Linked DNA regions of Macaca fascicularis. Each later gene encodes a partner of the first gene's protein in a complex. Links are inferred from orthologs where the notes say so. Each region holds a gene or a part of one and is shown in the gene's direction. Other genes may lie near its edges.

Region 1 (4,210 bases):
TCGCTGCCTTGCTTTGTTTGTGCGTTTTGTCCAATTCTTTGTTGAAAACGGCAAGAACTCGGACAGCTACCCTCAACTGGTAACAGTTACCTGCTGGGCCTGCTTCCTCATCTCTAAAACGGGGCTGTCACCCCGAATCAGACGGTAAGGTAAGATTTCCACAATTGTTGAAAGAGCCTGACACATAGTAGGAACTCAAAGTCTGCACAAAGACTTAAAGTTCATGAAACAATATACAAACTAAGGGAGAAATCCACTTAAGTTTAGGGTGAATAAATCTAATAACTGTTTGGTAAAAACTACACTGACAATGACTGTCTTGTCAGTGTTCAACACTTATGTGAAACACTGAGCTTTTACAAGGCCAAGCCCCGTTTTAGGTTAAATTCTCGCAACCACGCTGAGGATGGTTCCGTTTTTAAAGCCGCGTTCCTGCCGTGGAAACAGTGGCCCTGAGGGTTAAGACACTGCCCAACACCGGCTGCGCCTGATAGACGCAGGTTCCGAATGCAGGCCCTCTCCAAAGTCTTGCCCACTGCTCCACAGTGCCTCAACAACCAACATTTCATCCTCAACCTCAAATCCATCTCTTCAGGGCCGCAAAAAAGCGTTACTTCCCAAAGGGCGTGTTCTCCAAGAACTGCATTTAGCATTTCAGATCAGAGTGAGCCGAACTCACTAGGATTACGACAAAAACCAGTGAGATTCAGATAACACCGTTACGTCGAAAGTTTTAATCCGTGACAGCGGAAATATTGCTTACGCCCTTAGGTAATTTCAAATGCACGTAAGAAGGCCGTGCCAGTCTCTGCTGGCGATGCAAAAGAAAGATGGGGCCGGCGGGGTCGTGGGGGGTGGGGGGACATGACATCATATCCCAGACACAACCTGACCTCGTTTAAAATAAATTCTGTATCCGACTCCCTTCGGTGCGTTTCACCGCCCCTAGTCTTGTCTGGCTACCCCCGAAGTCCTTTAAAAGGGGTTGAAATGGGTGTTGCAGAAGAGAGAATACTCAGGTAGAAACGGCCTGCGGCAGAGGCGCCCCCAAATCATGGAACCTGTTGGAAGAGTGAGGAAGGAACTCTGGGATCCTGAACATTCTCACGGGTGTAAAAAGACAAAGTAAAATCCCCATTAACCAAGTTGGGGAGAAGTCACATCCGTTACACAGCCTCTCCCAGACCGCACATTTACAACACCGGCCTGCCTCCAGTCCTTGGCTGCCTCACCTTGCTCCTCAGAGCGGGTTTCCCAAGACCCGCGCGCAGCCGGCCAGGCGCAAACTCAAGCCGCTGCTGGTTGCCAGGAGATACTGGTCCAACCATCTCCTCCAATCAGCGCGCATCTCTTTTCGTCCAATCACAGAGGCAGGAAGGGCCGTGGTGGGAGGTGAAAGGTCACACTCCTGTTTGGCGGCCATTTTTCTTGAAATTCAGCGGCTCGGGACCTGGGGTACCTGCTGTAGTCACGAGGGACAAGCGGCAGCCTGGTCGGCAGTGAGTAGCCTGCAATATTCGGCCGTGGTTACGATGGTAAGGAGAACGAGAACGGCGGGAGAAGCGGGGAGAAAGAGAAGGAGGGAGACCACCTCGCGGGGCCTAGTGGTTGCTTCGCGCGTTTCCCATTCATCCGCGTGAGGCGCCGCGCACCCGGTCGCCAGCTTCTTTCACTCTGCTTTTAGGATTTCTGAGGCGCGTGCTCCTCCCGATGCCTTTCTTTTTCTAGGAGTACCCGTGCCTTCTCCTCTTTGTTTGAATCCGGGCTTGGGATATTCTTGTTTGTGGCTACAGGGTCGGGGTAAAACTCAAAGAGAATTTGCACTTCCCACTTAACCACACTCCAAAATTCACTTTCATTGCATGAAAGTAATGATACGGCCATGCTCTAGTTTAACTCAGTTGGTTGGGGAAGACAGACAGTCAAAAAATAACAAATATGCAATTGCAAGTAATAAGTGCTAAGAAGAATGCAGACAGGAGGCTGTGAGGGTGCGCGTTAGACATTTAGAGGCTTAGTCAGAGATGGCCTCCCTAGGAGGTGGAATTTAACCTGAAGCCTAAGTGTCATGAAATAGACCCTTTAAAGAGCAGGAGGAGGAGTGTACCGAGCACAGGGAATAGGCGCATAAGACCTGCGGCCGGAAAGAAAGCTTGGTCAGTTGGAGAAATTGACAAAAAGGTACAGCCACTTGCAGGAAGAGTGGTTACGAGATGGTGTCGGAGGAGCAGGCGTTGGACAGGACCTCTTAGGCTGTATTGGGAGGTTTTGATTGTACTCCAAATCAATTGAAAATGATTGAGTTGGAAGCCATTGAATCATTTTAAGCAGAAATATGACAATTTGATGTGCACTTTAAAAAATCATGTTGCTGTGGTGGATAATAAATTGGAGAATGAAAACTGGAGACCCATTAGGTTATTGGAGTAATCGCCGTATCAAGTCACTCCGAATATGTTTATGTTAGAGGGGGTTAGTAGCCAAGTTTCTTAGTTCTGTTCTTTCTTTGACTGGTGAGTGAGCAGAAAAAGGCAAAAACCGAATTCACTGGAGATGTTAATGGTTTGCTGAACAAACTTTAAGTGATTTCTATAAGAGGCAGTGCTAGTGACAAAGTCATTTAGGACCTAGCCCTAGCTTCCACAGTTAAAGACTGTCAAGCGTCATCTGCCCTCTGCTTCCTTCTGTAGTCTTATATTTGGGACTTTGACTGACAATGCTGAATTGTATGTCCCCAAAATCACCTTGTTGCTTCACTCTTCCCTCCTTTTACATAAGTAGCTAGCCTTGCCTGGAACAGGATTTTTTCCCGCTCTGGAAATAAATTCTCATTCTTTAAAACTGAGGTTAACTTATTTCAGGCAACCTTTCCTTTTTTCCCTGGATTGCTTCGGTACCCTTGTGCCTAGTATATCTCCTCTTATTATGTTGCAATATGCAGTATAATTATTTGTATGTGAGGAGCCCCCCTCCCCATCTCCAACTTCTTGACAGGGACTCTGTTATTTATTTATGACAAGGTCTTGCTCTGTTCCCTAGTAGCCGGGACTACAGGTGTGCACCACCACATCTGACTATTTTTGGTAGAGAAGGTGGTCTCACTATGTTGCCTGGGCTGGTCTTGAAATTCTGGCCTCAAGTGATCCCCCTGCCTTGGCCTTCCAGAATGCTGGAATTACAGATATGAGCCACCCTTTCTGGCCCGCATTTTTTTTTTTTAAAGTGCCTTTATCTTTGTTTCTTTAGAGCTCAGAACAGTAAGTGATGTATGTAGTCGGTGTTATCTTAAGTGAATAGTGAGTATTTTGTTTTGATGGGTTAAAGGTGATACTGACTAACTGGATATTTAAATTTCCCTGGTACTCTCCAATAAATAAAAGTGAAAATTGTGTACTAAAATAATGAGTCAAGAGTTTTCTTCATTTGCATACCACAAAATATTGGTATTTAGTAGAAGAGAGTTGGTGGTGGGAGGAAAAATAATTAATTGGATCCTTTTTTGTTCTTTGTGCAGAGTTTACCCCTCAATCCCAAACCTTTCCTCAATGGACTAACAGGAAAGCCAGTGATGGTGAAACTTAAGTGGGGAATGGAGTACAAGGGCTATCTGGTATCTGTAGATGGCTACATGAACATGCAGGTAAGCTAAAGAGCTGTAAAGGTCATAACATTGCATTTAGTTTGCTTCACCTTATTGCTCAAAGGTTTAGTCTGACTAATAAGAATACATACAATTAAATTGACAAATGTACGGCAAAATTAAAAAATAAAGTCAAAGCCAGGGAGGATACTATGATATACTAGGTACAAGACATGGACTTAAACCAGAATTCAGCCACAGATTTTATTCCTAGTAGTTAAAGTAAGAAGAGCTCAGACATTTAATTCATAATAATACTGTAAGGGAAACACACTACTTTGCTGGAGAAAACAAAACATTTCTCATCATTTAGCCCTGAAAGAAAGTTTTCAAGTGAAATTCATGAGTCTTTTAATGAATGATGCTAAAGGCACAACACCAAAGTTATTGAGGAAATTCATTCCTTCAGGGGAAAGACACATCTGCCGAAGAAATTGAACTGACTGTATGTCTGTCAAATGAGTTTCTGTAAATGATTCAGCCATGTGTTTTGGTGGGGGTTTTTTTGTAATTAATTTTCTTTTTATTGTGGTAAAATATACATTACAATTTTGCCACTCTAACCATTTT
Region 2 (4,213 bases), on another chromosome or scaffold:
CCAAAAGTAGAGCACGAATGGAAGGAGGGAAAACAAATTACTCATCTCTACAATACACGTATTTAAATTACCTGAGAGTTAATTGTACTGTTAAACAAGGACTTTATTAATTTAAAGTAACAGTCAATATGTTACACTATGGAGAATATTCCAGAAAATAGAAATATCTCAGAAAAAAATACTACACACACACACACACACACACACACACACACACACGTGGGCGCGCGCGCGCGCGGAGGGGCGCCCGCTAGTGTGAAAAGCAGAAGGGCGAACCTGGGCCTTATCCTAATAGCTCTCATTTAATTCACCCAGTGCTTTTCAAAGGCAGATATTTTACTGATAAGGAAACAAGGCAAACAGGTGAGGTGGTCCAAGGTCCCACGCGCTACAGCTCTCTCTCTGGTATAAGGAAATACACTAGGCATGAAGAAGCAAACGGATGGCAAGAAGGGACAATGGTAAACTTTCCCATAGATTCTCTTAAGCTGATTGAGGGAGGGCAAGGGGATCAGGAATCCATTCTCTCAACAGATAGCCCTTCAGCCATTTTTCTGAGCCACCCTCGGAATCGCAGCTGCCATCAGATGTGGATGTAATACAGTGAGCAGTTACCAAACTCAACCGTTTGCTGAGTGAATGAAGGAACCAGAGTAGGCAAAGTGGGAAACCAACTCTCCTGGGAAACCAGCACCGTGTTAGGCCCTGGCGTGCCCCCAGGGCGCCTGCAGGGGTGCCACGGGCATGACGCGGCCCACCTTCCCCAGGCACCGCAGCGGAGAGAAGGCTCTTCAGAGCGGCCCCCAGAGGAGCCTTCACGGGCATCGCCGCACCTCCACCGGCAGCTCCACCCCAACCCTGGTCGCTGGGAATTCTGCCCGACCCTAGGCCGGCGCGAGCGTGGGCAGCGAGGAACCAGCTGAGAAGCAGGATCAAAGAGCTCGGGAGTTGGAGACAAAGAAAAACTGGGGGACAGAGGCAAAAACTCGGATCCGAAAGGGGGTCTGTCCATCAGGGCACGCCGGAAGAGTGGCGCTCGAGCTGACGGCGAGAGCTGGCGGGCCGGGGCGCCGAGGCTCAGGGCTGCTTCGGCAATTCGCGGGGGTGACTTGCACCCCGGGAGGCGAGAGCGCCTGGGAAGTCCAGCGAGGCTTACCTAACTTTCCCGCCCGCGGAAGGGAAGCGGGGAACTACTGCCTCCCACCATCAGGTACGACAGGAGGCCCAGGCCCACGCGCAGACGCAGGGTTGTGGGGCGGACACCCACGGCCGAACAGCCAGTCGCAGAAAGGGAGGGGCGGGCAAATGGGGCAGCCCCACCTAGCCGCTCGCGTTCATTCCTCCCGCGGCTTTCCAGGTTTGGGGTAGGCGGGAGCGGTGGGCTTAGAAGCCGGAAGTGGATTGACGTAGCCCGGAAGGGGAATACTTCCCAGTTACAGTGTTGATGTTTTCAGGCTCCTGCTGCTCCTGTTGCGGCTAGGGGAACTGTCGTGGGGAAGGATGGTGTGCGAAAAATGTGAGTTAAGGGGCTGCTTCTGCGGGAGGAGGAGGCTGGGATAATCTAACTGAGCCCTCCCGGGAACTTTGCCTTCTCTTTGTTTTTTTCGCCCACAGGTCTCTGATTCTAGCCGCTGTCTTTCTACCCTACCCTTTGACCATTTTTGCACCTCCCCAACGACCATACAGTCCTATGTATTTTGTACTCAGAATGGTCTCAGTTCTGCACCTCCCTCTCTATTTCCATTGCCTTCCCCCAGCCCCAGATCTCATCGGCTCCCCTCCCATATAAAAATGTTCAGTTAAACCCCAGCGACACCTTTCCCTCTTGGCAATTCCTGTCCTTTCCTTTTTATTCGTGTAACAAGTATTGTACTCCTGCCAAATGTTAGACACTGGAACCAAAGACTTAGGACTTTGCCTTATTCATTCTCATTAGTCATTATGCCAGGATATGGCGTAGAGTAAACCCAGAGATGTTTGAATTGAACATCAACGTAAGTGCAAATTATTATTTCCCTAATTTAAATCCTTTAATAAACTCTCAGTGTGCAGAGAATAATTTGGGGATTCTATATTTGGAACCTGACGTTCAGTACCCTCCACACTAAGGCGCTAACTTATTTTTCCAGCTTCATTTTCACTGACCCTCATCCTCTTCACACTTTGACCAAACAAAATACTCTTTGTGCCCATGTGTACTCTAAGCTTTCTATGCCTTTCCTCAGAATGTGTCCTTTATCTAGTTTGCGTTCATCCTCTTTACTCCTTTTTGTTCACAGTCCTGTTGCCACATATTCAAATCCTCTCTCTTGCCTTCTCTCCAAACTTTGTTTTCTTGGATTTCCTTAGCCAGGGTTATTTTTTCCTGCCTGGAATTTCTCCTAGTACTTTAGTTCTCAATTATTATATCTTTTATTTTTTAGCTTACATTTTGGTTGAATGGTTCTTTTTGGGGAGACGGTCTGTGATCCCTCTGAGAATCTGATGAAAACTGTAGCCTCTTGCCAGGAAAAAAAACTGAAAATATAAAAGGTTTGTGTACAACTCCACCTTGTTCACATATCTCTTAAGATCCACCTGGGGAACCCAGGTTACAGATTGCTGTTAAAGAAATTAGTATACTATAATCTCATTAAAATTTTGTCTGATTCATCACTTTTTCTCAGCACTTTCTATAGTTTATACATCATAGATGCTTAGTAAATATTTATGGAACAAATAGACTTATTGGATTTTTTAAAAGTATAAACAAACAGTGAAAGCTTATTATAAGCCATCTTATTATCCTGCGAATTTTACCGACGGTCAGTCATTCATTGCCCACAGTTAATATGAGTCTCAGTTGACTGGCTGCTTTCTCAGCATTAACAGGCTCCTATGGTAATAGCATTGATAGTCGATACCATTGTGAGCCTTAGGCACAATGTAATGCACTTATGAAATAGTAAATTTTAATTTTCCTTTTACTATCTTGTTCTAACAGGTGAAAAGAAACTTGGTACTGTTATCACTCCAGATACATGGAAAGATGGTGCTAGGAATACCACAGGTATTTCTTCTTTTAGAAAATAGGAATTTAACCAAATACTTACTGTGAATTATATTTTAGCTTTTACATTATTTGTACAATGAAATGTTGTATGTTCAAAGTATTTTATCTATTAAATATTAAAGAATACTGGGTCCCCAAGTGATTTAATATCTTTTATTTAGTTCTCAGTTACTTGTATGGGTTCCCAATATCAGGAGATAGCAAAATTATTAAATGATTGTCAAGTGGTGACAATATCACAGTATTTGATTATCACAATATTTGATTTGATTCAGCTTATTTAGAGTCTGTTTTTAATTTCCCCACTCTTCTGAGGAGAAATTTTTTTAAATCTTCTGATTTTTATATTCTTGAATAAATAAATGCTTTAACCCATTTTACCTTCATTATCATTAAATCTTTATAATGAAGTATTTACCTTCATTATTATTAAATACATATAGTAAAGTATGTTTTCAAAGCGTAGACAAATAAACATTTTCATTATATTGAAGGTCTATGACACTGAAGTAGTGGCTTCTAGATTTTACACTATATAGAGTAAATATAGACCCATTCCTAAAGTACTCCCTTGAGTCTGAGAAATAAAATGATTGTATTTTATACAAATTTTTACTGTTTCCCTAATAAATGTTTTCTTTTTAAGCAGTGTCTTAATAGCCTACTAAATGAGGATTTAAAAATTAGATACAGACTACTATTTTGGTAGAAAGTCAAAGAATGAACTTCTTAATGTTTTATGTTAAATGTATAGAAATAACCCACTAAAATATCTTTTATTCTGATACAGAAAGTGGTGGGAGAAAGCTGAATGAAAATAAAGCTTTGACTTCAAAAAAAGCAAGGTGGGTAAGAGCATCCATAGACAGATCATATAAATTTCCTTTCTTTTAGTATTAAGTCTGCTGGAGTGAATTTGATGTGCATCATTCCATTTGCAATAAAACATAAAGGTAGGTGGTTCATAGCACTCAGAACCAAGCTATCTGTTACAATCCTGCTGGTTTTACCTTATTCCTCCTTGGCTGTATCAATATATGAAGATATTAGTGTTATTCTCTTACAGTTTCACCAGAAAACATGACTTGTATTTTATCTCCTTCTTAATTATCCTATGAATCAGAGACAGCAGGGAAATGTGGAAAGATGGTAAGCTTTGGA
Region 3 (4,274 bases), on another chromosome or scaffold:
GAGGCTACAGTGAGCTGAAACTGTGTCACTGCATTACAGCCTGGGCAACACAGCCAGACCCTGTTTCCAAAAAAATTGTCTAAAAACAACTTTAGAGAGACAAAAACTATACACTATAAAATTCTTTATTTATTTATTTATTTTTGAGATATAATCTGGCTCTGTCGCCAGGCTGGAGTGCAATGGCACGATCTCAGCTCACTGCAACCTCTGACTCCCTGGTTCAAGTGATTCTCCTGCCTCAGCCTCCCGAGTAGCTGGGATTACAGGCCCGTGCCACCACATCCAGCTTATTTTTTTCTATTTTTAGTGGAGATGGGGTTTCACTATGTTGGCCAGGATGGTCTCGATCTCCTGACCTTGTGATCCGCCCGCCTTGGCCTCCCAAAGTGCTGGGACTAGACCCCTTCCCCCATTTTCAACAAGTTGGCCCAGGAAGTTTCCCCGAGCCCCTTCCCCAGAGTGAGGAAGCATGGCTGTCATTTTTCTTTTCTATCTTTTTAATTAAAAAATTGTTTTCATTTTGTGGGGGAAGAGTCTTGCTATGTGGGTCAGGCTGGAGTACACTGGCACAATCCTAGCTTGCTGCAGCCTTGAAGTCCTGGGCTCAAGCAATCCTCCTGCCTCAGCCTTCCAAGTTGTTGGGACTACAGGCACACACTACCAGGCCTGGCTACTTTTTTATTGTTTGAAGAAACAGGGCCTCACTATGTTACCCAAGCTGGTCTCAAACTCCCGGCCTCAAGCAATCCTCTTTCCTCAGCCTCCTAAAGTGCTGGGATTACAAGCATGAGCCACCACATCCAGCCTGTTGTTCTCTGGCCCTGCCTGCACCGGTTTCCCCGGGCGGCAGACAGGGCCCTACCATAGAATGTCACCGACAACTGGGAGCGGACGGGGGCCCCGGCCCTGTTCGTTCCGCTGGGTGAGAACGAGGGTCTTGGGGCCACCGGTTTAGCTGGGACGGGTGGGGGACAGCAGCTTTCTTTTTCAATTGTTCAACACAGAAGAGAAACCCAAAGCAAGACGCCAATCATTAAAACACGCAGACACAGACACACGCGCACGTGACCTCGCTCGCTGGGTGCTTTCGTTACCTCAAACGGAAACGGGACTTTTCAGGCCCTCTTTTCCTGCCTACCTCATGGGACTGTTGCCAAAGAGGAAGGAAGCGGAAGGAAAGGTCTTGGGACGGGACAGGGGCTAAGCGGCCGTACGTTCGTTACGATGTGAGGGGTGCCGGGGGGCTGGAGACTGAGGTCGGGGAGAGCACGGGCCCTGGGTCCTTGGGGCCTGCGGGCGGCCGGAACCAGAGTGCGCGGGTCTAGGGATTCGGGGACCCAAATGCACCAGGCCCACACATCCCACTCAGAGGGCTGCGGGAAGCCCCGCGCATACGCCAGGGACACGCCCCGCCCACACTTCCGGGGCGCGACCCGGAAGCGGAAGGGAGCCCGTTTCTTTTCCTTCCCCCAGTGCGTCTTTCCTGCGTCGTACCGGCGCGGCGGGAGCGGAGGTCCACGGCCGTTTGCAGCGTGCGGCTGGGGGGCGTGGAGGCCTGAAGTCTCCAAGCAGCCGCGGCCATGGCGGATGTAACCGCCCGTAGTCTGCAGTACGAGTACAAGGCGGTACGTTTGGGCTCGTGGGAGGATTCCAGGCTCAGGAGTCCAGTGGGGAGGGGGAGGCTGAAAAAGAGAGTTTCAGTCTGAAGGCCTCCAGGAGAGCCACGAAAACGGAGGGGAAGTGGAATCGCGGTGAAGGTGGGGGTTATTTGATGACGTGAGTAACCTACGGGGGTCTGGGGAGTGCTAAGATCTCTCTAGGAGGAGTTTCTCGAGTCCCTTCAACGCTAAGCCCGCCCCCTTCCACACTTCACTCCCAACCCACTCACCACTTTTCCCAGATGTGGGTTATGATGGGCACTGTTAGGAACAAGAATTGCTTAGCTGATTCGACAGGCCGTAAGACTTATTCAGCTCTATGCTTCTGCACAGCGTCATACCATGCAGTTCTTAAGGAAAATATCATTATTACGATTAGCGATTATAAGCAACTAGCTACTACGATTCTTCCATCAGCTGGGGTAACTGTGATAGTAGGAACTGGCCCTGCTCATGTCAAAGCTTCAATAATGTTTTGATCTTTTCAGAACTCAAATCTTGTGCTCCAAGCTGACCGCTCTCTCATTGACCGGACCCGCCGGGATGAACCCACAGGAGAGGTGCTGTCCCTTGTTGGGAAGCTGGAGGGCACACGTATGGGAGACAAGGCTCAACGGACCAAACCGCAGATGCAGGAGGAAAGAAGAGCCAAGTGAGTGCTAAGGGAATACTATTTTTTCCTTCAGATCCAAAGTCTCTTCTCTTTAACATTCGAGCAGCATTTTGGCCGGAATGCTTGGTGTAAGATCAGTGGCATTAAAACGGTTTAGTGAAGGTAAAAACAGAACAGGAGAGTTTAAAGATTTTTTTGGCCTTAAAAAGTGTACCTGAAGTGGAAAATAACTTATTGGTACCTTTTTCTTACATGTGTGTTTCTAGTCCATAGACAGATCTTACTTTTCTTCAGGGTATTTTCAAGACCCTTGCTATTCCTATGTCCCAGTAATTCTTTTTCTTTTTTTTTTTTTTTCCATTACTAACTTTCTACCCCTATTTTTTCCCTTTACTCTTGTCCACTTCTTACCTATTTTGTTGTTACAAACTAATTTAAGCATCCATGGTATGAAAGACAGTTTTTTTTCTTATTTTGCATTTTTTTTCTTTTTTTCTTTTCTTAAATATTTCTTGGGGACGCATTTCAAAACTTACCTTTACCTCACCATTATCTTTTGATCTTGAATATCTTGGTGTCTTGCTCGCTTTCCTATGATGATGTTTCCAAAATTCATGGGCTTAGTTTGATTAAAGTATGTTTGAAATGAGTTAATACATTATCTCCACTTTGTGCTATATCTTCTTTTCCAGTTTTGTTATAATTGGTTGATAGTCAACGGCAGTAGATTCTGTTAGAGCTTGTTTCTCTAGTTAGAAAAGGAAAATGCATTTGAGAGATGAAAAACTAGTCAAAATCCTATTATATAATAGTCTCATACAATGTATGAAGGGTTGTCCTTTTTTTTTTTTGAGAAGGGTTATACTTCTTTTTTTTTTTTTTGGAGATGGTGTCTCGTTCTGTCACCCAGGCTGGAGTGCAGTGGCGTGATGTCTGCTCACTGCAACCTCCACCTCCCGGGTTCCAGTGATTCTCCTGCCTCCGCCTCCTGAGTAGCTGGGATTACAGGTGCTCGCCACCGTGCCCGGCTAATTTTTGTATTTTTAGTAGAGACAGGGTTTCGCCATGTTGGCCAGGCTGGTCTTGAACTCCTGACCTCAGGTGATCCGCCCACCTCGGCCTCCCAAAGTGCTGGGATTACAGGCGTCAAGCACTGCACCTGACCAAAGGGTTGCATGTTTTTTTTTTTTTTTTTTTTTTTTTTTGAGACGGAGTCTGGCTCTGTCACCCAGGCTGGAGTGCAGTGGCTGCGATCTCGGCTCACTGCAAGCTCCGCCTCTCGGGTTTACACCATTCTCCTGTCTCAGCCTCCCGAGTAGCTGGGACTACAGGCGCCCGCCACCTCGCCTGGCTAGTTTTTTGTATTTTTTAGTAGAGACGGGGTTTCACCGTGTTATCCAGGATGGTCTCGATCTCCTGACCTCGTGATCCGCCCGTCTCGGCCTCCCAAAGTGCTGGGATTACAGGCTTGAGCCACCGCGCCCGGCCAGGGTTGCATGTTTTAAATGAGAAACATATCTCACTGTAATGTGTAGTGTATCTAGTGAGAAGACGATGGGGAATTTTTCTTTCTGTCACTGGGTCCCATAAAGAAATACTCCTGCAAGTGATCAAGGTCCAATAGGAATCATTTGCTGAGGCTCAGGTACCGGTTTTCAGATATTAACTTCCTGCCATGAAGCTGAGGAGAGGAGGGTGGGCTTGATCCAGTCTTCCCTCGGGGAGGAAAGGTTCTGCCATTCACCGTCACGTGTCCACCAGGCGAAGAAAGCGTGATGAGGACCGGCATGACATCAACAAGATGAAGGGTTACACTCTGCTGTCGGAGGGCATTGATGAGATGGTGGGTATCATCTACAAACCCAAAACTAAGGAGACCCGGGAGACCTATGAGGTGCTGCTCAGCTTCATCCAGGCTGCTCTTGGGGACCAGGTGAGTGTGATATTGTGAAATATATATTCGGTCTTTGTTTCATTTCCCGGCATACAGCTTCTATGAT
Region 4 (3,500 bases), on another chromosome or scaffold:
GGCTGGTCTCGAACTCCAGAGCTCAAGCAATCCTCCCACCTCAGCCTCCCAAAGTACTAGGATTATAGGCATGAGCCACTGTGCCCAGCCTTCCTGCTTTTTACCTTAGCTGACTCTGCCTCAGCTAATCTGTTCTTTTCCAGCTCAAGTCTAGCAGAGCCATGAACTTAATTACCCAGAGCTAGGTGAGGACCCCCTTTGAGGGCCCTAGGTCTGTCATCCTATCTATTTGCCCTTCTTTTCTGGTATTCAGCATCTGTCTTTTCCTCCTTTTCTCCTGTCTGGCTTTTACAACTTCTTTCTCTGAATTGTACCTGGTCCCAGGGGGCATATTTAGCAAAGGGTAAACCTCTTCTTTCTTCCTTGTCATTCAGGGTTATACAAAGAAGGGTATGAAGATTGCCTGCACCCAACCCCGGAGAGTGGCCGCCATGAGTGTAGCCGCCCGAGTGGCCCGGGAGATGGGTGTGAAGCTTGGGAATGAGGTGAGATTTCTAGGGAACTGGGGGGTAGAGACTGGGGTCTGTGACTCAGTCTACACTGCCCTCAGGTCCCTACGGCAGAAGTCTTGGTGCTGCCCCACTTCACCTTTCCCCAAGTTCCTTTCAGGGCACACCATCCAACACTTGGTTGCTAATGGTTTCCCTTGACCAGGTTGGCTACAGTATCCGCTTTGAGGACTGCACATCAGAGCGAACTGTCCTCCGCTACATGACAGATGGGATGCTTCTCCGGGAGTTCCTCTCTGAGCCTGACCTTGCGAGTTACAGGTACATACAGGGCCCTCATCTCCCATGAGAGAGCTGCCCACATTCTCTTCCCCCTGTGCTGCCGCCTCCCTCCCACTCAGTTCTCTCCTGGATCTCTAATCTCTGGCTTTTCTCTCATTTCTTGCCACCCAGCCAATTCAGCCATTGTCTTCTGATTAATCCACCAGTTCTTATATCGTTATGGTTCAAACGGTCCTTGAACTGACCTCCAGGTACCACGGAGATGGGGCTGGAGGATAGAAGAGATTGTAGAGAAAGCCTCTTCTTCTTTCCCCATTCATCTCCAGGGTTAGGAAACAACCAGGATAGCATAGCATTGCTGCGGAGGCTTGAAATGCCATGTGGAGACCATTTGAAAACACCTGGAATGCTCAGCTCAGAGGGAGAAGCAGGAGAGGCATCCTGGTTCCCTCTAAATATGTGAAGGCTGTGACATGGAAAGAAGGATGAGACTTGGTTTATGTAACCCTACAGGATACAGCTAGGAGCCATGGGGAGGTTACAGGGAGACAGATTCCAACTCAATACCGATGGCTAAATAACCCTCAGAGTGTTGGAGATTGCAGGGCCTGTCAGAGTGGTTGGACTCTGGATCTTGGCCCTCCACACAAGTCTTGGGTAGCTTGGTCTGTGAATAATGAGCTCTTAGTGCTGGAAATGGCCAAGCAGAGGTTGGTTGAACATGTGTTGAGGGGGAAAAGGGATTCATGAATGTGCTGGGGTTGGGGTCAGGCCAGCTGAACAATATGTGCCCTTTTTTGACTCTTCAGAGGCTGTGAATTTCTGGCCCTGGAAGATCACAGTGGAGTGATTGGACAGATAGGATTTTATCCTTCATATCCCTTGCAAAAAATCTCTGAGAACCCATGGAGAGCCAGCCAGTGCAAGAGGGCCTGATGCAGATATTTTTGCCCATCGAGCCAGCCTGCTTTGTGGAATGACTGGGGGCTTCACCATCACAGTTAGGGTTAGGGACAAAGAGTTGAGGTCAGAGAGGTGGGTAGGGGAAGATGAGGATGAGTTCCTGAGACTTGGCTGCCATCCAGAAAAGCCAAAAAATAAAGCAAAGAGAAAGAAGGTGTCATGCACATAACTGAGTTAGGAGAAACCAGGGAGCATGCAGAGTCCTCTGAGAGTTGGGGTAGAAAGGCTTAACTTGCTCCTCTCTGCAAAAGAAGAATCCTTCTTAGCAGGTCTGGCTCTGTTACCCAGACTGGAGTGCATTGGTGCAATCTCGGCTTACTGCAAGCTCCGCCTCCCAGGTTCATGCCATTCTCCTGCCTCAGCCTCCCGAGTAGCTGGAACTACAGGCGCCCGCCACCACGCCCGGCTAATTTTTTTTTTTTTTTAAGTAGAGACGGGGTTTCACCGTGTTGGCCAGGATGGTCTCAATATCCTGACCTCATGATCCACCCTTCTCGGCCTCCCGAAGTGCTGGGATTACAGGCGTGAACCACCGCACCTGGCCTCTTTTTACATAGAGTGTCGCTCTGTCACCCAGGCTGGAGTGCAGTGGCTCAATCTTGGCTCACTGCAACCTCTGCCTCCCGGGTTCAAGCGATTCTCCTGCCTCAGCCACCTGAGTAGCTGGGACTACAGGTGTGCGCCACCACACCTGGCTAATTTTTTTTGTATTTTTAGAAGAGACAGGGTTTCGCCATATTGGCCAGGCTGATCTCAAACTCCTGACCTCGTGATCTGCCTGCCTTGGCCTCCCAAAGTGCTGGGATTACAGGTGTGAGCCACCGTGCCCAGCCTAAAGCATATCCTTCAACTTTTTCTAGTAAGAGCAGCTACTGAGTCTAAGCAGACTCTTGACTGAACTAGAGAGTATGTCTAACTTGTCCTGGCCTCAGTGCAGCCTCTACATCTTGGCTTCTATTGTCTGCTGAGGCTGGGATAGGTTGCAGATCATGGGTCCCTGGCCGCCTCTGACTTTCTGTTGGTCTTACATAACTGGGATGGCTGAGTTCTCCTTAGACCCCCCCTCCGTCAACAGTCATTCTTGAGCTCTTTGTGTCCATCACTCCCCTCTCGTCCAGGGAACCCTGGTGTCTGATACTGCATTGCCCAGCGCTCCTCCCTCATTGCTGCCCTATTCCCTCCCCAGTGTGGTGATGGTGGATGAGGCTCACGAACGGACCCTACACACAGACATTCTCTTTGGATTGATCAAGGATGTTGCTCGCTTCCGACCTGAGCTCAAGGTCCTGGTGGCTTCAGCCACACTGGACACTGCCCGTTTCTCCACCTTCTTTGATGACGCCCCTGTGTTTCGAATCCCCGGACGCAGGTTTCCTGTGGACATCTTCTACACCAAGGTGCTACCTCAGGGAGGATGGGCTTAAGTCTGTGGCAGAAAAGCTGAGGCCTTTGGAGAAAGTTATCCCAAGGAGGGAAAGATGGAGTGGAAGGTCCAAAGGGGAACTAGGATAAAGTATATGTTGAACGGGGAGGAGAGGAAAGGTTTGCCTAAGCAGGTGGCCCTCCTGTGACCGCATCTCTTTCTGCTCTCCAGGCTCCAGAGGCTGACTACTTGGAAGCTTGTGTTGTATCTGTGTTGCAGATCCACGTGACCCAGCCCCCTGGGGATATCCTGGTGTTCCTGACAGGACAGGTGCCTGACATGGTTGGGAGAGGGGAGGGTGTATCTCAGGGGAAGATGGGGCCGGCATGTTGGCCTTCTGTGACTCTGGGATCCCTGCTGCTCTCCCCACCCTCTATCCAGGA
Region 5 (3,500 bases), on another chromosome or scaffold:
TTCAATAAGTAGTAACTGAGTATCTATACACGAGATACCGTGCCTGGGCATTTTTCAACGATAAACTTAAACCATAGCCATTGCCTTCAAATAGCACACAAGCCAGTGGAGGAGAGAATACTGGACAAGTAGACATCCTGCTACATAATGCTAGGCTGGCAAAAGAGATGTTCAAGCTGCCGTCAGAGCACAGAGGATAGACAGAGTTGGGGGAGGGAAGCAGTGACAGAGTTTCCGGTGAATATAATTATACCTATCTCCTCTTATGTTTTTGTAGCTGGTGAAGAGTGATTGAACTAGTGGTCGTGGCCGTGATTGAAAAGTTTTCATTCCTTCATGCCACAGACTCTTTTGGAATCCTCATTACGCGCCAGATGCTGTGCTTAAACTGAGATTTGTATTATAAGACCTAAAGTTATTGAATGAATGTTTTTCCTGGTTTTTCTTTCACTATATGCAAGTAAGAGTGCCAGTAGGCACTCAAATATTTGTTGAAATAATGAATGGTAAAATAATATTTTTTCCCTCCTCAGAACTTGTGGACAAATGTATAGGATCAAGAATTCACATTGTGATGAAGAGTGATAAGGAAATTGTTGGTACTCTTCTAGGATTTGATGACTTTGTCAGTATCCTTTTAAAAGGTGGTGGTGGTGGTATAGGTTTTTCTTAAGTATTTAATAACGTAAGAACTATAGACAATCAGTATATTTGTGATTATTATAATAAAATCAGTTCATTTTCAGGGAACTTATGATAATGTTTTAAGAGGTATGTATTGAAAGACGGTAAAGTTCCTATCAACAACAAACATTTTGAATTTGAGCCGTTGTGTTAAACATTATAATTAAAACTGAACAAGCGAGCCCAGTGGCTTACACCTGTAATCCCAGCGCTTTGGGAGGGCAAGGTGGGTGGATCGCTTGAGCCCAGGAGTTTGAGACCAGCCTGGGCAACATGATGAAACCCTGTCTCCACAAACATTACAAAAATTAGCTGGGCATGGTGACGTACACCTGTGGGCCCAGCTAATCTCTGGGACCGAGGCAGGAGGATCCTTTAAGCCCAAAAGGTGGAGGCTGCAGTGAGGTGTGAGTGTACCACTGCACTTAAGCTGGGATAACACAGCGAGACTTTGTCTCAAAAGAAAAGAAAAGAAAAGCTGAACAAAGGCAGAAGCTGGAGTAAATTCTCTATTTGTTTTCTTAACACCAAATTTCAGATATGGTACTGGAAGATGTCACTGAGTTGTGAGTAGTGTTAAAGAATTGGGGGGGAATCTCTTCTTAATTAAAGACAGTTTTACTACTTTTGAGTAAAATTATTTATGAGAAAACATTACCTGTTGGTAGAATAACCTTAAAGATAGAAGTTTTATCTGTTTGCTTGTAAAATTGGATCAGTGTTATTACCTTAATTTAATTATTAGTAAACTCCTAGACAATTAGTGGAGACAGTTTTAAGGTAGAAGATAAAAGAGCTAGGAATTTTAGGGTTCAGGTCAAATCAAGGAACTGATAGTAAGAGCATTTAGACTGGACATGGTGGCTCACCCCTGTAATCCCAGCATTTTGGAAGGCCTAATGAGGAGGATAGAGCCTGGGAGTTTGAGACCAGCCTGGCCAACAAAGGGAGACCCCTGTCTCTATAAAAAATTTAAAAATTAGCTGGGTATGGTGGGGGGCAGCTGTGGTCCTAGCTGCTCTGGAGGGTGAGGATCCCGTGAACCAGGAGTTCTAGGCTGCAGTGAGCTATGATTGTACCACTGTACTCAGCCTGGGCAATAGAGCAAGACCCTGTCTCTTAAAAAAAAAACAAAACCCAAAAAACATTTCATTTCATATTTGATTTCTTGGGCAAGCTTTGGCTTCTTTTTATGAAGCTCTGTCTGACAGATGTGGATCTTAGGTCAGTGAGTTCATTCTGTTGCTTTTAATGAAGGTTACATTACCTAGTGGATAACCTTTGTAACTGAAAATTGTCGATATAATTGCCCAACCTCAGAGTAATTTGTATACAAGGATCACCTTTTTAGGGAGGGAAAGTATTTCCAAAATGTTGGCTTTGATTTTCACTGTTTATCCTGACTGTATTTTATCTATTCATTTAGTGAAATCACACCAGAAGGAAGAAGGATTACTAAATTAGATCAGATTTTGCTAAATGGAAATAATATAACAATGGTAAGACACATTGAAACTGTTTTGTTTAGATGGGAGCCCATTTTTCTGGGGCAGTGATTATAGAACTAACCTTAATGTTGCTTGCTTAACTAAATGATCATGGCCCAGTGGTGCGTAAGATGGGAAGGGTGTTCTCTGTGGTCAGGGCCCTAAAGCTCAGCTATTGAAGAGGCATTGGGTCTAAAGGTTAGTTTGCTTCGAATTTTTAATCGCTGTTGAGATAGTAAGTATTAATTGATGATGTTGGAAATTGTGAATAGATATTGACAATCTGGAGAAAATGGGAATGTGGAGCGCAGAGGACAGGCAAAGGTGGCTTAAGGAAGAGCAAGGGATTTTTAGATGACATGGTTGTTGTGTTACTAATAAACTCTTTTTCCTCTTTATGCAGCTGGTTCCTGGAGGAGAAGGACCTGAAGTGTGAATGAGTTTTCTTGACTTAGCTAGATTCTGTTTTGTCTTTTAATGACAAGAAAATGGAATTTTTTTCCCCCACCTTCTAATGTTTAAATCCCGTAAAGCTAAGTTTCCCGTTAAAGGGAAGTGCTTTGAAGATGTGTACCCATTTTTGTAAGTTAATCATGATTATCCTGGAAAAAGAAGAAAAGAGCTTCTTCTTTGAAGACGAAAATAAAGGTGTTTTTGGTTAATTGTCATTTTATTTATTGTACTGCAGTAGCCAGTGGAACAAAGATTGTGGTTATTTTGCCACTTACTTTTCTGTCATTATATGCTTATTTGCTTTCTCATTTACATGACCATTTGATTCTCAAACAAAAGTCGTTCCAGACAAAATGATGAACTTTGATTTGAACAGGTGCATTTAAACAACTGGAAATGATCACTTAGAAAATTAAATTAAAATGCTGTTGTTTTGTAATGAGGATTTTTCTACTGATTTCAAATTCCATGAACAACTATTGAAAACAAACAATATACAGGTAATATATGCACATTGTAGAAATGCGGGAATTATCTATTGGAATTTCCCTAAAGATACAAATTTTATCTATTTGTTTATAAAATTGGTTCAGAGGGTTATTACCTTAATGTAATTATTACTGAATTGCCAGGAAATTAGTGGAGACAGAGCTTTAAGGTAAAGGATACTAAAAACAGCTAAGAACTCTGGGACTCAGGTAAAATCAAGGAACTGATAATAAGATCATAGAACTGTATAAATTAAGTCAAAGAACTATTAAAAACAAACAGGTAATATACACACATCGTAGGATTATAAGTAAGCAAAAAGGAGAAGGTTGATCATGCTTTGCTGTATGTCTTCATAGACTTTCTCAGTCCACTCTCAGTACACAT
Region 6 (4,153 bases), on another chromosome or scaffold:
CCCTTAATTATAATATTAGCTCCTTGAGGGCAGAGGACCCAACCTGATACTCCTGTCTACAGACCTTAGCTGCACAGGACAAATCTAGATGTTCAGTAAGGACTGATTGAATCAACCTGACCTACTGGGTGCAGGTGCTCTAGTACCTTTCTAGTTAATTTATTCATTTGAGCCTCATTTCTTCCTCTACAAAACGAGGGTGGAAATTTCTTTTACTTTCTCTTTCTTTTTTTTTTTAAAAACAAGGAGTCTCGCTCTGCTGCCCAGGCTGGAGTGCAGTGGTGCGATCTCAGCTCACTGCAACCTTTGCCTCCCAGGTTCAAGTGATTCTCCTGCCTCAGCCTCCCGAGTAGCTGGGATTACAGGCGTGTGCCACCATGCCTAGCTAATTTTTGTATTTTTAGAGGAGACAGAGTTTCACCATGTTGGCTGGGTAGGTCTTGAACTCCTGACCTCAGGTGATCCACCTGCCTTAGCCTCCCAAAGTGTTGGGATGACAGGTGTGAGCCACCACACCTGGCCCCCCCTTTTTTCCTTTATTTTAGAGACAGGTTCTGCTATGTTGCCCAGGCTGGTCTCAAACTCCTGAGTTCAAGCAATCCTCCTCCCTCAGCTTCCCAAAGTGCTGGGATTACAGGCATGAGCTGCTGCGCCCGGCCAGGAATTGTAATTTTATCTGCTTCATTGGGTTGTTGTGAGGGTGGAGAGACAATACATGTAAATTGCTTAGCACATACTCTAGTATCATACAGTACATCATCTGCTCACTTGCTAGCTATTAATTTAACAATATTAATTTCTGTCTCCTGCTCAACTAGGAGAGAGCCTATGGAAAAGAGTAAGTGCAGCGGCTCTCATGCAAATCTGTAGGTATTCAATTCAGCCTATAGAGGCACACTGGTCTGTTGCCTATGTATTGGGATAAGAACAACAGAAGATTTACCTTTTCACCTATCTTCTTCACTTTTCTGCCATGACAGGGATGCTTTGATGGGTCTGTGCGTGAGCAACTGACTAAGAGCGAAGGTCCAAGTGGGACTCTGGACTGGGAGCGAGGGCTGAGACTAAAGTCGCCACATCAGGCTGCTTATTCCGTTCATTCAGCAAATATTTATAGCTAATCTAACCAGTTTCCGATATCGTTCAAGAGCTGGGGGTCCTGCAACAGCCCAGGCTCGTGCCTTTACCCCATTTCACAGAGGAGAAAAAGCGAAAAATTAGAGAAAAACCGTTTCTACAAGAGGTAACCGCAAAGAACGCGGAAGGCTTCTAGTGCGCAGGCGCCACGCCCCGGTACGCCCCAGCTCTTCCGGCGCGAGGTCACCGACTCGACGAGCCACCGGCGCCGGGGCCGCGCATGCGCGGCGCTGCCTTTCCCGGGCGCTGATTCCTGAATGCTGAGCGCGAGCCCGCGGAGATGAAGTAAGGCGTCAGCTTCCTTTTGAGGAACGAGCAGCGGGCCGCTGAGGGTGGTCTACTGGGGCTGGGGTGGTAGAGCGTCTGCGGGGTCGAGGGGCGGGAGAGGCGCGGGGACTAGAACACCTCGTCCCCTTGTTTTGCTCTTCTTCAGCTTCGGCCGGTTAGCATTTACTTGTCTGCTTTTCTGCCTCCCCTCACCCCCGCCACCGTGAAGTCCTTTAACTAAGGTGAAGCTGATCAACGAGCTGAATGAACGAGAGGTCCAGCTTGGGGTGGCCGATAAAGTGTCCTGGCACTCCGAGTACAAGGACAGCGCCTGGATCTTCCTGGGTGAGGTGCACATCTTTCTTCCGCAGTGCTCCCAAGATTCTCCTGCTCGGTGTCCGACTATTTCAGCATTTTCACCCTTCACTCCTGCTTACATTCATTGCCCTCCTTTATATCCATCTGCTGTCTGCCCGGGAATCCGTGTTCCATCTTTTTTTTTTTTTTTTTTTTCTGCCCCATTTTTAGTTTTCCTTCCCAGCCAAATCAGTGCTCATGAGAGTTACTGTTTGCCATTTGCTGTGCTAAGGTTCAGGGACTGTTGTTATTTCTCTCTCACCCCCTGACCCGTTATTACAGCTGAGGAAATTGGGGTGCAGAGAAGTTAAGGGACTTCCTTAAGGTCACATAGCTAATAACCGCAACAGGCAGAACTATAGCTTTCTAGAACTCATGGTCTTAGCCACAGCCCCATATTGCTACCACCGCCCTCCCCCATTCCCCTTCCCTTGCAGAATTCACTTTGCTCCTCTAGCTCCTGCTTTCTGACCATGGCCACACTACCATTACTGTATTCACTTTATATCACAACCAGTAATTGTACAAGTTTGATGCTTCAAAGAGGTTATTGTAAAAACGTTGTGCTAAGCACTTTATATGCATCGTTTTATTTAACTCTTATAACAGTCTTGCGAGTTACCTGCTAATATCCCCATCTTACAGATGAGGAAAGAAACATTTGGAAGGGAAATTATTCCCTAGGAAATGCTTAACAGTGTCTTTATAACCTTTGTCTATGTGTAGGTGGGGTTAATCATGACATATGTAGACTAATTTTGTATCATAGCTGTAAATTTGTGGGTAATGAGCAGATGAATTCAACATGTTTGTGGAAGCAGAGGTTTGTGATGGAAACTATCTGCTTTGCCCATAGGATTTTGGGTGCCAGGAGGACTGAGTGATCAGTTTACTTTTGTTAGTGGTGACACTGACTTCCACTCAAAATTAGTCACTCCTTTTCCTGTTCTACTGGCACCTTACATGTACTTCTGTCATTGCATCAGACTTGATTTCTTTCTTTCTTTTTTTTTTTTTTTTTTTTGAGTTGGAGTTTCACTCTTGTTGTCCAGGCTGGAGTGCAGTGACGTGATCTCGGCTCACTACAACCTCTGCCTCCTGGGTTCAAGCGAGTCTCCTGCTTAAGCCTCCTGAGTAGCTGGGATTACAGGTGCCCGCCACCTCGCCCGGCTAATTTTTTTTGTAGTTTTAGTAGAGACGGGGTTTCGCCATGTTGACCAGGCTGGTCTCGAACTCCTGACCTCAGGTGATCCACCCGCCTTGGCCTCCCAAAGTGCTGGGATTACAGGCGTGAGCCATGGTGCCCAGCCCAGACTTGATTTCTTTAAGGGCAGGGCCTGTTGCTTACTGTTTGCACCCCTAGTGCCTGGCCTAGTGCATGGTACGTAGTAAACACTTGGTAAATGTTGGTGGAACTGAAATGTGGTTTTCTTTTCTAGGAGGGCTTCCTTATGAACTGACTGAAGGGGACATCATCTGTGTGTTCTCACAGTAAGTCCCCTTTCATTTCCTGCCTCCTGAGTCGACAGAGTACTTTTTTCTGTAATGCATTTTGTGGCATCACAAAAACCACTTATTTTCACTCTAGGCTGAATGGTGTCCCTGCATGGGGAGGGCTGGAGCTTCTGCTCTAGTCTAGATCAGTCCCAGGACATGGTTCTAGAATGTTCTCCTGTGGGAGATCCAAGAGGTTTGTTAATTTGGGAGGCCATCTTGGGGATTCTAGTCTATTTCTGTTGTTTTTCACTGAGGTTTGTTCAGCCTGGGCCTAGACTGGAACAGACTGGAACCCTCAGGAAGGTTCCATATTGGTACGCCTCCTTGGGCTCTTGCAAACTAGGGGTAACCCATGGTCACAGGGCCCTTCTGGTCCTTGCCTGTGTGGCATCATACGACTGGGGCAAACCACAGAGGAATTGGGATGAAAAACAGAAAGAAGGTTGTAGTTTGCTTTCTTTGATTCTCAATGAATGTAAGGTTAGTGAGCAAAGCCAATCTCTACCTGGAGGCTGAGAATCACAGCCTGACGAGGAACAAGAATGAATAGGAGATCTGTATATTCTTCATTCTGCTGAGGTGTTGGCAGCAGCATTTGGTGGGAGAGGGTGTTGGTGGCTCATACTGGTAGTAGCAGCTAGTAGGAGAGGGGCTGGGCAGCTGGCCTGCAACCCCAGAGGTAAACAGCACAGTTAGTCCACAGGGCCAGAGGATCTTGGCACAGGTGCAAAGGACCACTACATTTGGGTTTTGTAGGCCTTCAGAGCATAGTACTGTTTCAGAGAAGTTGGACAGCATGTACAGGTAGCAGACCATGGCAAAAGGGGCTGGCCAAGCAAACACAGGTAGCATACACTGGCAGAGGGATTGCTATGGCAGGATGGTAGGGCCATCC
Region 7 (3,500 bases), about 84 Mb from region 1:
TATAATATTTTAATCATTGCCCTCACCATATATATATACTTAGCTACCAAAACATGACAAACATAATTTTGTTTTATTATATGTTTGGTATCTTTGAAATTTTATTATGTGGGCATTTATGTAGTCATAAATCTATAACATTGAAAAGAGTAATAAGAGTCAGAACCGCATTGGAAATTAAGCAGTTGTTCTCTTGAGATACCTTCCATTTCTGAGAGCTTTTTAAAATATTTTACGTTTTAGTGTTAGGGTAGTTTGTTACGAAAACATTTTTAAGGTGAGGAAACAAAGCCCATTTACAGATTTTTTTATTCTCCGTTGCATGTAGGGTTTTTTTTCTGCTTTCTTTTTTGATAAATTTATGCCAAAGCATAGGAAAGGACTCTGACCTCACTTAATCTGTCAACTCATTCAGCAAAGCAAGGTAGTTCAGGGATTGGGTCAAAGCAAGGTAGTTCAGGGATTGGGTCAAAGCAAGGTAGTTCAGGGATTGGGTGGACATTTTTCATACTCTGCCTTTCCCAAAGCTGTTTTATGAAAGTTGCTCTTTCTCGCTGTGCTGGCAGCAGAAATGATAGCAACTTAGTGAGGTTTTACTGTGTATCAGGTTATCTGTTAAGCACTATCCTCATTTGTAACCATTGTTATCTCATTTTACAGATAAGGAAATAAAGTTAAAAACTTAAGTAACATGCCCAAAGGTGAAAATAGTGTTGAATGGCATTGCCTCCAGTGTCTGCTTTTGCCCCTAGAGAAAGCAGTGAGGGTTTTTTGAAGTCCTTTGAAAGGATAATCTCCTACAGATTTAAGCTCCCTTCCTTTTTTTTTTTTTTTTTAATGTTTTCCTCACAGTGTAGAAACATTCTTGGGAATTGCTGTCCCACTTTCTGTTTCCCTTTTTCCTTCTAACTCTTACTTCCTATTAGTTACTATCAATAGCTGCTTGGATGAAGGTCCCAGAGTTAGCCATAGTACTAGAATCAGTTTCAACTATCTTGTTCCTAGGTCCATGTTCTTATTAAATTATGCCACATTAATTATTATTTTATTTCATGGCGATACAATAATGCTTTTGAATATTATCAGTTGTGCAGAAATTTAGCCTAGAGGGAGTGAGTGGTGCATTCACTCAGCTACATATAGCAAGCATAGTAGTTCCTTGGGTCCCTGTCATGCAGGTAAATTTATGTTCCAGTATGGAAAAACTAACTGTATTCTGTATAAATATCAGGTTTGAATTGGGCTGGGCTTTGAAAAGTTGCAGTCTAATTTAAAATGTGTGTTTTTTAAAATATATAATAGTTTCAATATTGTTCAGTTAAAAAAATCATGTATTAACAAATATACTTTTAATTGTTTTATCTCAAGAACCTAAGGAAATTAGTGGTCACACTTCTGGTATAAAAAAAGCTCTGTGGTGCAGTGAGGATAAACAGATTCTTTCTGCTGATGACAAAACTGTTCGGTAAGTACTTTTTTTTTAATAATTTACAATTTGAGGCTGGGCATGGTGGCTCATGCCTGTAATCCCAGCACTTTGGGAGGTGAGGTGGATGGATCATTTGAGGTCAGGAGTACTAGACCAGCCTGGCCAACATGACAAAACACTGTCTCTATGAAAATTACAAAACTTAACCAGGTGTGCTGGCACACACCTGTAATCCCAGCTACTCGGGAGGCTGAGGCAGGAGAATCACTTGAATCTGGGAGACAGAGGTTGCTGAGAGTTGAAATTGCGCCATTGCACTCTAGCCTGGGTGACAGAGCTAGACTGTCTCAAAAACAAAAAACAAACTTAAAATTTGAAAAATATTTTACCTTAGAGCTTGTATTTTAAATACATTTAATATTATGTGCAAAAAATGTTCTGAACATTAAAATTTAAGTTGCACCCAGGTCACATTTATCTGGAGCTATTTACTATTACAGGTCAAGTATCCCTAACCTGAAAATCTGAAATTTGAAACGCTCTGAAATCTGAGACTTTGAGTGCTGACTTGATGCTTAAAGGAAATGCTCATTAGAGCATTTTGAATTTTCTGTTTTCAGGTTAGGGATTCTCAATCGGTAAGCGTCTGATGCAAATATTCCAAAATCCGAAAAAGTTTGAAATCCAACTTCTTTCTGGTCGCAAGTATTTTCTATAAGGGATGCTCACCTTGTATATACAGACAGCAAAATTCAGAAGAAAATTAAATCCTGATCTCTTATAAGCAGGTGTTCTTAACCTGGGTCTGTGGGCAGGTTAAAGGGAGGGTCCATGAAGCCTCTGAAATTCTATACAAAAATCTTGTTTGCTGACACCTGATGTATATTTCTTTGGAAAGATGTGTAGCTATTGCTAGATTCACAAAAACAGAGTGTAAGAACCACTATTTATAGCAGTGCTGAAATTGACTAGATTCGAACTTGTCTTATGTAGTTTTGCCAAATTGGGAAGTATATGTAGGTATTAAAGTTGATTTTACTTAAAAGCTGTTGTCATGCATAATTTGACATTGTATATAGAAACCCAGAATTTCTTTTTATCATCTGTAATTGTGACTTGGAATGAATGTTGTTTTTCTGTAATTGTGATTGTTCTTTCTTTGGCTAATCTGCAGATGTAATTAGAATTTATAAGCTTTTTTCTGACATGAGTAAACATCATCATATTTTTATCTTTATTTTGCAGACTTTGGGATCATGCTACCATGACAGAAGTAAAATCTCTAAATTTTAATATGTCTGTTAGTAGTATGGAATATATTCCTGAGGGAGAGATTTTGGTTATAACTTATGGACGATCTATTGCTTTTCATAGTGCAGTAAGGTATGTCCAAGAAATACTTTCATTTTCTGTTTTAGGTAACAAAAGACAATTTGGCTACTTAAAAATGGAAAGATATTTACTTTTTTTTTAAAAGTAAAGAGGCCAGGAATGGTGGCTAATGCCTATAAATCGCAGCACTTTAGGAGGCTGAGGTGGGAGGATGGCTTGAGACCAGCCTGGACAACACAGTGAGACCCCCATCTCTACAAAAAATAAAATTAGCTGGTCGTGGTGGCACATGCCTATAGTCCAGCTGCTTGGGAAGCTGAGGTGAGAGAGTTGCTGGAGCCTGGGAGGTTGAGGCTGCATTGTGCTGTGATCCTGACACTGCACTCCAGTCTGGATGACAGAGCAAAACATCCTCTGAAAAAGAAAAAAAAAAAAAAAGAAAAAGCAAAAACTGCTGGATTGGTAATGTAATTTATGTTTTTTTACTAGATAAAACCATTGCGGGCTGGGCGTGGTGGCTCACGTCTGTTATCCCAGCACCTTGGGAGGCTGAGGTGGGCGGATCACTTGAGGTCAGGGGTTCGAGACCAGCCTGGCCAACGTGGTGAAACCCCGTCTCTAAAATAAAAATACAAAAAGAAGAAAAATTAGCTTTTCTGTAGTCCCAGCTATTTGGGAGGCTGAGGCAGGAGAATTGCTTAAGCACAGGAGGTGGAGGTTGTAGTGAGCTGAGGTCGCA

The links.
Region 2: SNRPF (region 1) and CRIPT share a complex: the UniProt entries of both Homo sapiens proteins name them as parts of the minor spliceosome. The link is inferred for Macaca fascicularis from reciprocal best matches to the Homo sapiens genes SNRPF and CRIPT.
Region 3: SNRPF (region 1) and SNRNP200 share a complex: the UniProt entries of both Homo sapiens proteins name them as parts of the U4/U6-U5 tri-snRNP complex. The link is inferred for Macaca fascicularis from reciprocal best matches to the Homo sapiens genes SNRPF and SNRNP200.
Region 4: SNRPF (region 1) and DHX16 share a complex: the UniProt entries of both Homo sapiens proteins name them as parts of the minor spliceosome. The link is inferred for Macaca fascicularis from reciprocal best matches to the Homo sapiens genes SNRPF and DHX16.
Region 5: SNRPF (region 1) and LSM5 share a complex: the UniProt entries of both Homo sapiens proteins name them as parts of the U4/U6-U5 tri-snRNP complex. The link is inferred for Macaca fascicularis from reciprocal best matches to the Homo sapiens genes SNRPF and LSM5.
Region 6: SNRPF (region 1) and RBMX2 share a complex: the UniProt entries of both Homo sapiens proteins name them as parts of the minor spliceosome. The link is inferred for Macaca fascicularis from reciprocal best matches to the Homo sapiens genes SNRPF and RBMX2.
Region 7: SNRPF (region 1) and STRAP share a complex: the UniProt entries of both Homo sapiens proteins name them as parts of the SMN-Sm complex. The link is inferred for Macaca fascicularis from reciprocal best matches to the Homo sapiens genes SNRPF and STRAP.

The regions. Positions count from the first base shown.
Region 1 is NC_088385.1:102,891,833-102,896,042, forward strand, and holds the start of SNRPF (small nuclear ribonucleoprotein F), read left to right. Parts: upstream 1-1,410; 5' UTR 1,411-1,532; coding exon 1,533-1,535; intron 1,536-3,514; coding exon 3,515-3,640; intron 3,641-4,049; coding exon of another isoform or gene 4,050-4,112; exon of another isoform or gene 4,113-4,210. UniProt on the Homo sapiens protein: Plays a role in pre-mRNA splicing as a core component of the spliceosomal U1, U2, U4 and U5 small nuclear ribonucleoproteins (snRNPs), the building blocks of the spliceosome.
Region 2 is NC_088387.1:75,424,960-75,429,172, reverse strand, and holds the start of CRIPT (cysteine-rich PDZ-binding protein), read left to right. Parts: upstream 1-1,413; 5' UTR 1,414-1,500; coding exon 1,501-1,516; intron 1,517-2,983; coding exon 2,984-3,049; intron 3,050-3,842; coding exon 3,843-3,897; intron 3,898-4,213. UniProt on the Homo sapiens protein: As a component of the minor spliceosome, involved in the splicing of U12-type introns in pre-mRNAs. Involved in the cytoskeletal anchoring of DLG4 in excitatory synapses.
Region 3 is NC_088387.1:1,387,317-1,391,590, reverse strand, and holds the start of SNRNP200 (U5 small nuclear ribonucleoprotein 200 kDa helicase), read left to right. Parts: upstream 1-1,474; 5' UTR 1,475-1,583; coding exon 1,584-1,628; intron 1,629-2,149; coding exon 2,150-2,313; intron 2,314-4,035; coding exon 4,036-4,207; intron 4,208-4,274. UniProt on the Homo sapiens protein: Catalyzes the ATP-dependent unwinding of U4/U6 RNA duplices, an essential step in the assembly of a catalytically active spliceosome. Plays a role in pre-mRNA splicing as a core component of precatalytic, catalytic and postcatalytic spliceosomal complexes.
Region 4 is NC_088378.1:141,993,824-141,997,323, forward strand, and holds part of DHX16 (pre-mRNA-splicing factor ATP-dependent RNA helicase DHX16), read left to right. Parts: intron 1-374; coding exon 375-485; intron 486-654; coding exon 655-770; intron 771-2,880; coding exon 2,881-3,091; intron 3,092-3,288; coding exon 3,289-3,387; intron 3,388-3,498; coding exon 3,499-3,500. UniProt on the Homo sapiens protein: Required for pre-mRNA splicing as a component of the spliceosome. Contributes to pre-mRNA splicing after spliceosome formation and prior to the first transesterification reaction.
Region 5 is NC_088377.1:97,820,315-97,823,814, forward strand, and holds the end of LSM5 (U6 snRNA-associated Sm-like protein LSm5), read left to right. Parts: intron 1-277; exon of another isoform or gene 278-454; coding exon of another isoform or gene 455-533; coding exon 534-629; intron 630-1,222; coding exon 1,223-1,250; intron 1,251-2,110; coding exon 2,111-2,183; intron 2,184-2,574; coding exon 2,575-2,607; 3' UTR 2,608-3,063; downstream 3,064-3,500. UniProt on the Homo sapiens protein: Plays a role in pre-mRNA splicing as component of the U4/U6-U5 tri-snRNP complex that is involved in spliceosome assembly, and as component of the precatalytic spliceosome (spliceosome B complex).
Region 6 is NC_088395.1:136,676,609-136,680,761, forward strand, and holds the start of RBMX2 (RNA-binding motif protein, X-linked 2), read left to right. Parts: upstream 1-1,353; 5' UTR 1,354-1,417; coding exon 1,418-1,422; intron 1,423-1,633; coding exon 1,634-1,749; intron 1,750-3,200; coding exon 3,201-3,252; intron 3,253-4,153. UniProt on the Homo sapiens protein: Involved in pre-mRNA splicing as component of the activated spliceosome. As a component of the minor spliceosome, involved in the splicing of U12-type introns in pre-mRNAs.
Region 7 is NC_088385.1:18,708,235-18,711,734, forward strand, and holds part of STRAP (serine-threonine kinase receptor-associated protein), read left to right. Parts: intron 1-1,368; coding exon 1,369-1,465; intron 1,466-2,674; coding exon 2,675-2,812; intron 2,813-3,500. UniProt on the Homo sapiens protein: The SMN complex catalyzes the assembly of small nuclear ribonucleoproteins (snRNPs), the building blocks of the spliceosome, and thereby plays an important role in the splicing of cellular pre-mRNAs.